2 linked regions of the Rattus norvegicus genome follow. The protein of the gene in region 2 purifies or fractionates together with the protein of the main gene of each other region. This does not show direct contact. Links are inferred from orthologs where the notes say so. Each region holds a gene or a part of one and is shown on either strand. Other genes may lie near its edges.

Evidence for each region. Proteins that work in one complex are often made in the same cells at the same time.
Region 1: the proteins of Fbxl12 (region 2) and Styx purify together in Homo sapiens (affinity purification with mass spectrometry; 4 studies listed by BioGRID and IntAct, with this or other methods). This does not show direct contact. The link is inferred for Rattus norvegicus from reciprocal best matches to the Homo sapiens genes FBXL12 and STYX.

Annotation. Positions count from the first base shown.
Region 1 is NC_086033.1:21,043,910-21,047,862, reverse strand, and holds the start of Styx (serine/threonine/tyrosine-interacting protein), read right to left. Parts: upstream 2,801-3,953; 5' UTR 2,593-2,800; coding exon 2,536-2,592; intron 1-2,535. UniProt on the Homo sapiens protein: Catalytically inactive phosphatase. Acts as a nuclear anchor for MAPK1/MAPK3 (ERK1/ERK2). Modulates cell-fate decisions and cell migration by spatiotemporal regulation of MAPK1/MAPK3 (ERK1/ERK2).
Region 2 is NC_086026.1:27,454,973-27,458,968, forward strand, and holds the start of Fbxl12 (F-box/LRR-repeat protein 12), read right to left. Parts: upstream 2,801-3,996; 5' UTR 2,493-2,800; coding exon 2,407-2,492; exon of another isoform or gene 2,301-2,406; coding exon 2,228-2,300; intron 1-2,227. UniProt on the Homo sapiens protein: Substrate-recognition component of the SCF (SKP1-CUL1-F-box protein)-type E3 ubiquitin ligase complex.

The DNA.
Region 1 (3,953 bases), on a different chromosome or scaffold from region 2:
TGAGTTCAATTCCCAGCAACCACATGGTGGGTCACAACCATCTGTAAAGAGATCCGATGCCCTCTTCTGGTGTATCTGAAGACAGGTACAGTGTACTTATATATAATAAATAAATAAAATCTAAAAAAATAAAAAGGGGGGGTTGGGGATTTAGCTCAGTGGTAGAGCACTTGCCTAGGAAGCGCAAGGCCCTGGGTTCGATCCCCAGCTCCGAAAAAAAAGAGGAAAAAAAAAAAAAAAGGAAAGAAAAAAAAAGAAAATGAAATTTGAATCTCAATTTTTAACAAAAACAAGATTCCAAAGTTGATTCACACTCTGTGTAAGTTTGTAGACAAAAGACCATGAAACACTGTCTACATATTTATACCAAAATAAGTTACTACTACAATAGGATGTGGCAGTACACATCTTCAAATCCAAGAATCAAGAAGGCAGAGGCAGGCAGGGCTCTATGAGTTTGAGTCTAGCCTGGTCTACATAATGAGTTCCAGGATAGTCAGGGCTACACAGAGAAACCCTGTTGCTAATAATATTAATAATTACAAGAATTAAAAGCAAGTTGCAGAGCAGCAAGAGAATAGACGTTACCTCCATTCACAGGTCACATACACACATAACCTTAAGCCTCACTAGAATAAGTACGGATCTGAAATTATTCCAGTTGCTATCAGATGCTGATCTTTGAGAGTTTTCTCACCTTAACTCTACAGCTATGTTTGAGTATATCTCCCCAGAAACAAGTCTTGAGATGTCTAAACAAGGAATTAAAAGGTGGAAACTCAATACAAATACAGTGTGTTGAGGGGGGCCTCTGAAAGTAATTAGGTTTAGAAAATGTTAGCATAAACCTCATGACTATATCCCAAGTAAGAGGAAGTCCAAATGGTTGACAGACAATACAGACTAATGGATGTATGAATGACACTGGGACTGGTGGACCACACCACCTACAAGAAAGCCATCACTCACCTGGCAGTGATTTGATTTTTGATTTTCTATGTGAAAGAAACTGTAAATTGTTTTTGATGCCTTACATATATCATTGGGAAATAGTAAGTAAGAAGTTACAGTTTTTGCAGGGAATAAATATAATTACAATAAAGGGGGGGAATTAAGTTATAACTTCTAAGAATAGGGGAGGGAAGAATTAAGGTGTATTAAAAACCCAAAAGAATTAGGAGTCAGGACTCCACCTCCACTATGTGCAGTAGTGACCCTGATAGAACACATACTCTAAACCTCAATCAATCTCTCTCTGTGGAGAAGTCAGAAGGCTGCTTGCCAGAGTTGGTTCTTTTCTTCTATCACAAGAGAAACCACTTGTGAAACTGAAAAATTATTTGAAGATACAATACCCCTCATTTACCTGACTGTACATTAAAGAAAAAAGTACAAAATCTTTTTTAAATTTATGATTCAACTTAAAAATATATTCAAGTCTCAACCATCACTCCTAAGAATTCTCCAAATGCTTGTCACTTGGGAGAAAAGGGATTGAAGGACATTCCTGGCTACACAAGACCTTGGCTTAAAATTAAAATTCATTTAAAAACGTAGTTAAGATTGGCGGCACACACCTTTAAAACCAGTACTCAGGAGACTGACTTTAAGGCCAGTTTTCTCTGCACAGAGTTCCAGGACTGCCGGGGCTACAAAGAAATCCTTTCTCAAAAACCCATAACCACAACAAAACAAACACAAGAAAGTGATCAAATGAAGACATTCAACAGAATTGAATGGTATAAAGTCTCCATCTCATATGTAACCCAAATACCTTTAAAACGATGAGAGGCACCTTCATTCCCATTTGGGGTGCAGAGGCAGTGGATCTCTGTGAGTTCCAGCACAGCCAGAGGTGAGTATTAAGACATGTAAGTCAAAACACACAACAAAACTCTAGAATCCCTTTTTGATCCTATTAAGTGTCACAGCTAAGAATCCTTGTCTTGTTACTAATTTAGCCACTGGTGAACTCTAATTTAACACTTTCTGGTACCATAAAATATTTGCAACAGATGTTAGGTAAAGAAAAGAAAAATCAAGGTGGAGTGAAAAGAACCCTAAATTCATAAATTGAGAGAAATTTGCTCTCGACAGTTCTTTCCTACAAAGGCAAGAATTGTGACTAAAAAATTTCAAATTCAAAGAAGCTGTCTTTTTGACTTTTTTTCCTATTAGTCATAGTTTTTTTGTGGGGTTTTTGTTGGTAGTTGTTTTTTTGACTTGAGAGCTATTAGGGTTCAATTCCAGAGTTCACGCCTCCGGTCTATTCCACACGTGGGGCTCTGTGTCCCGCATGTGAACCTAACACCAAGCTCAGATTAAAAACAACTTCACAGCGTGTTGCTTTGGCAAAGATGAGTCTGTGTTCAAAAGTGATCAGGGGTACTCTCCTGGTTGGCCCTACCGACAGGGGTCCCATGGGAGGAGGAACTCAGTGACGCCCCCTACGGGAAACAGGAAGAGTCTGGCACAGTAGGGCCAGGGGCGCTACCCGGGGGCTGCCAGCCGCAGGGCCGGCGGGCGGGCACTCACCTCGGCGTCGTCTTTGCACTGCGGGAGCGAGGGGAACTCCAGTTTCACGTCCTCCATGGTCCAAGGGCCCCGGCGGGTGGCTGCGGCGCGCCCGGCCGCCCCCCCCCCCCGGGCTGGCAGAGGCGACAAGGGAAGGAGGGCGGGCGGATGGCGGGCTGACGCGCGGCGGGCTCACAGCAAGCACTCGCGGACCACGGGGTCCGGGCGGCTGCGACAGGAAGGCGGATGGCAGGGCGGTGCGCTGCGGGCCGCCATGCTGCGGCCGTCTCCCTCCTGCAGGTCTCCGCGCCCCTCAGACAGCCGGAATCCGGCCCAGGCTCGAGCCCATAACCGTCTCCTCCCGCCCCAACCCACGCGCCACAGCCAATCCCAGCCCACGCTCGCCGACGGCCCGCCCCCGCCGCCGCCAGGTGTCAGCGCGCCTCCGCCCTGCCGGTCCGCGAGCGCGCAGACGCGGGGGGAGGGGCTTCCCGCGGGGCGGAGCCGCGGCCGAAGGGAAGGCGAGAGGTCGGGGAAGGCAGTCTGCTGTCGGGCCAGCTAGGCCTTCCCAGACGGGATGGGAATCCCTTCAAAGTGCTCCCCATGACCGACCGCACTCAGAGGAATGCTGCCCAATCCGTAGGAGTTAGTTACAACCAAACAGGAAGAGTTCAGTTTAAATTCATGTTAAACTACGCAAAAAACTTGATACTCTTCACCTTTAAAGTAGAAAGTGGCTTCTTAGGTATAATCCGGGGTGTAACAACTCAAATTATCCAGAAAATTTCAAAATGATTCATAGAAAACGTCATCAGAAATATAAGTGATAGTTTACTTACTAAATTGAACTCAGTACTCTTAAGATTTCTCCGAGTCAAAATTTTCAACATATGATTCTGTGTGAGGAACTTGCGTTGAAGTTAATTTTTAAAAGTTAAGAATATATGGTCTCAGGATCTCACTAGGTAGATCAGGCTGGTCTTTAAACTCTCAAGAGTTCTGGAACTAAACGACTAATGGCCTGGTTTGAAGTTCTGAACAACCCTTTGGTATCACTAAAGGAATTGTTGCTTGGTCTGAACAACCCTTTGGTATCACAAAAGGAATTGTTGCTTGGCTGCAAGGTGTGTATTTTAAGACTTCCTAGAGACCTCAGGACTATTATCAAAAACCATCCTTTAAAAACAAAGTGTAAGGACTATGTGTTTAACTTAGACTTCCTCTTAATTCTTTTCATGTTGTCATGTATATAATGCATGTTCAATATACAGAAGTACAGCTGTTCAATGATTAATTAGCTGGCCAATCAGATGTTCCATGTTCTCTAGTATGACATAAACTATTATATTAGAAATTACAAAAGGCACAGAATACCCTGCTAGTAATTTTTAATTAAAAAATAATCCCATGGCAAGTGCTGTGGTGAATACCTTTAATTC
Region 2 (3,996 bases):
TGTGTGTGTGTGTATGTGTGTGTGAGAGAGAGAGAGAGACAGAGAGACAGAGAGACAGAAAGACAAGGAAGCTGAGGAAGATAGATACCCTACACTGACCTATGGCCTCTACTTGCTCTTTTTTTTTTTTTTTTTTCCCCGAAGCTGGGGACCGAACCCAGGGCCTTGCGCTTCCTAGGCAAGCGCTCTACCACTGAGCTAAATCCCCAACCCCCTCTACTTGCTCTTGTACACATCTGTATTTGCACTCATGCATATACACACACATGTAGATGTAGGTACATGCACACAAAACTATGCAATCAAAAAAACAATACAGTGCATTTCATTGTATGTTCATTTTATCCAAAAGAAAAGAAGAGAAAAGAAAGCTGGGTAGAGCAAACGATTTGTTGCTTATGCTGGGATGGAATCCAGGACCTCGGGTATAGTAAGGACATGGCTGAGAACTCAGTTATAACCCAGTTCACAGCACACCCTTACTTTTAATGACACTGGGGAGTGAAATCCAGGGCCTCGTGCAGCCCAGGAAAACATTCTAGAGCTGAATCACAGTTCCAGGCCTTCTCTGAATTTGTACTTCAAGGCAGGGCAGAGGTAAATTGCCCAGGCTGGCCTTGAACTTATGATCTTCCTCTCTCAACCTCTGTAGTAACAAGTCTTTACTAGGCCCAGTCTTACGGTATAAAATTTCTTGACCACTTTTTAACAGAGAAAATAAATCTTTTAAAAAATAATCTGTTGCTAGAGAAATGGCTAACACTTTTTATGACTTTATTCTATTACTATAAAATTTCGCTGGACAGAGTTAGTGCACACACATCATTAGTCCCAGTAGGTGGAACTGGAGTTCAAGGCCCACCTGGTCTACAGACTGAGCTCCAGGACTGCCAGTGCCACACAGAGAAACCCAGTCTCAATAAAAATAATAATAAAGTAAAAAAAATTGTCATGGAATTATTCTATTTAAACACGTATTTGAGAAAACCCAACTCTGTATTCTCCGTACATGGTTAGTCACTCATATTTGGCTCCAGAGTAAATTCTTATCCACTCTGAGGTAACAGTTATATTTCGCATTGACAGATGCTGTCTCAAAAGACCAAAAAATAGAAATTGGGCACGAGGCTGTGTCAGTGAAGTGCTTGCCTAGCAAACCGGCGTGGATCTGGTTCTCAGCACCACATGGACTGTGTGATGGCACACACCTGTAATCCCAGCCCTCAGGAAAAGGCAAGAGGAGCAGAATCTTTGTCATCCCAGGCTGCATGGCCAGCTGGAAGCTACCGTGGGATACATGAGACCCATCTCAAAAACTAAAACAACAAACCCAGAACACTGAAAAGTTATGAGCTTGCATTTATTGAATGCTGGAGACCACACACTGGTCTAAATCATCTCTCTCTGCAACTGGCTAAGTTCTACAATATGCCAGACATGAAGGCACTTTTTTGTTTTTCTTGGTGCAAGAGATGGAGCCAAGGCTTCACCAGAGTCAAACACTCCGTCACCGATAGCTCCACAAGCATTATCTTTAATCCCCATATCTTGGATGAGAAACTGAGGTCTGAACGTTGCAGAGGAGGAGAAAAGGCTACTGCTAGGATAGACATGCAGAAAATTCCAAGCACGAACTCACTTAAAAACCAAACCAGTGGGGTGGTGGTGCACACCTTTAGTCCCAGCACTGGAGGAGGAGTTCCAGGCCAGCCAGGGCTACAGAGAAATTTTACTTGGAGGAAAAAAACAAATAAACAATACCCAAACACTTCCTGGGCCAGATAAGGTGGCCCACAGCTGTAATTTCAGCACTGAGCAGATTAACGGAGGGGGTGGTTAGTTGGAAACCAGTACATGACTCAGTCAGAAGAGTGCCTTCCTAGCATTCAAGAAACCTAAATTCCATCCCCAGTATTACAGAAATCAGGCATGGAGGCCGACTCTGGTAATCCCAATACTTAGAGGGCGAGGTAGATTAGAAATTCAAGCTCAGCCTCAGCTTCATAGGAAGCTGGAAGCCAGTTTGGGATAGAGATCCTGTCTCAAAACACCCCCCCTCCAAAAAAAATCAACAAAAATACAGAAAAATAAAAGCCTTTAGAAAGTATCAAAAATAAATAAATAAAACCAAGAGCAAACAAACACTAGAAAACAAAATAAAGCACAGGCCCCTCTATCCCAGGGCAGGAGGTTGGCTCTCCCCGCACCGCTCCCGGGTCCCGCGTACCGTGTAGAGCGTCAGGTCGACGTGTCGCCACAGCCACCGGTCATCCACTAGCCTCTTCCAGCGGTGACAGACCCTGGAGGAGTGGACCGGCCGTTAGAACGACCCGGCCCGCTGGGACCGGATCCGCCTCTCCTGCCGAGCCCATGCCCGGCTCTTTCTCCCGAGGAGCGGGGCCGCACCTGGAGATGCGGATCCGGTCCCGGACAGGGAGGTAAGAGAAGATCTCCAAGAGCACCAAGTCTGGGAGGTCAAACAGCGTCGCCATGGTCCAGCCGTCGCGCGCTTCCGTTTCCGGTGGCCGGGAGGCCGCGCTCCCTGGAGGGTGCTGAGGTGGCCGGACTGGCCAAACCGGCGCGACTTTCCGAGGCCTGCCGAGGATCCCTACCTTCCTAGGAAAGTGCCTGAGGCCCCAGGACTGTACTGGCGCGGCCTGACGACCGTTTGGAGGACCAGACTAGAGACTGACTAGGCCTGACTAGCTTGACTAGCGGATGGAACTGGAAATAGGAAAACCTAGATGTGGCTTGGGAGAGGAGGGGGCACGAGGCGTGGCCAGGCCAGGGGAAGACGAACAGCAAACCCGGAAAGCTGGGGGTGATGACCGCCTCGGAGGCGTGGCCATGAGGTGGCGCTAAGGATAAGCAAGCAAAGCCAGAGGGGGTCAGCAGACAAGCCAGGCGTGGCTCTGACAAGGAGGGGACTCAGGACGTAGCCGAGCGGTGAGACGTGACGAGCTCAGGCAGATAGACGCCTTGTAGGCCCGGCTGAGGAAAGCTACACGCCTAGAAGGCGTGGCTCCGGCGGGCAGGGAGTGGTCCTGGGGCGTGGCCAGGGGAGCCAAGGGACCAGGGGACCAGGGGACCAGGGGGCCAGGAGGCCAGGGGGCCAGGCTGAGGAAAAGCAGCAAACTCCCAAAGTTGAACTCCGGGAGAGAGGTAAAGAGACAGAGACTAAGAGCAGCGGGTGTCGCAAGCGAGACCAAAGTACTAGCATTTGAAAAAGCGCCGCCGAGTGGAGGGGTGTGGCCAGGGGCAGAGGAGCAAATTGGAGGCTGTCAGTAACAATGGAAGGCGTGGCTTCAGTAGGAAGAGACCAAGGCGCGCGTCTTTGTGGGACTAGAGCCGAGAAGGCTTGGCTTGAGCTGGAAAAGGTTTAGGGTTGTTGCTAAGCAAACATCATCCAAGGACCAGACCGCATATCCAGAAGAGATGACTTGAGCAGTGAAAAGCTAACAGAGCAGCAAACCCAGAAACCATGACTTGTGTGGGAAGGGGCTCAAGAACCAGGAGTCCTAGCTGGGCCTTAAGACCAAGTTTGTAAAAACCTAGCTTAGGCGTAACAGGGTCCGACATAGGGGATGGGTGGGCGGCAAAGGGAGAAGCTGGGGGACTTAGGACTGGAGTAATGATTAAGAGCAGGAACGAGGTCTAAAAAGCATCGCTGGAGACAGAAACAAGAGCTGAACCAGGAGCTACGTGTGCAGCTCAGTGAGAGAGCCCTTGGCTGCTAACATGCTAGAAGGTCCTAGGTTTGACCTCCGACACTAAAACAAATACCAAAACAAAACAAGAAAAACAAAGCTCACTCTCCAATATGGGAGTCGGGTAGAGCCTGGGAAGTCTTTTCGGAACGGAAACGAGGCATTGGAGAAGAGATATTGGAACAGGACTTCATTCGAAACTGAAAAGTGTGACTGGGATGGGGATGAGGAGCCAGCAGGACAGCCAAGCCAGGGAGGCGTGGCCACAAGCCGCAATAGAAAGCAAAAG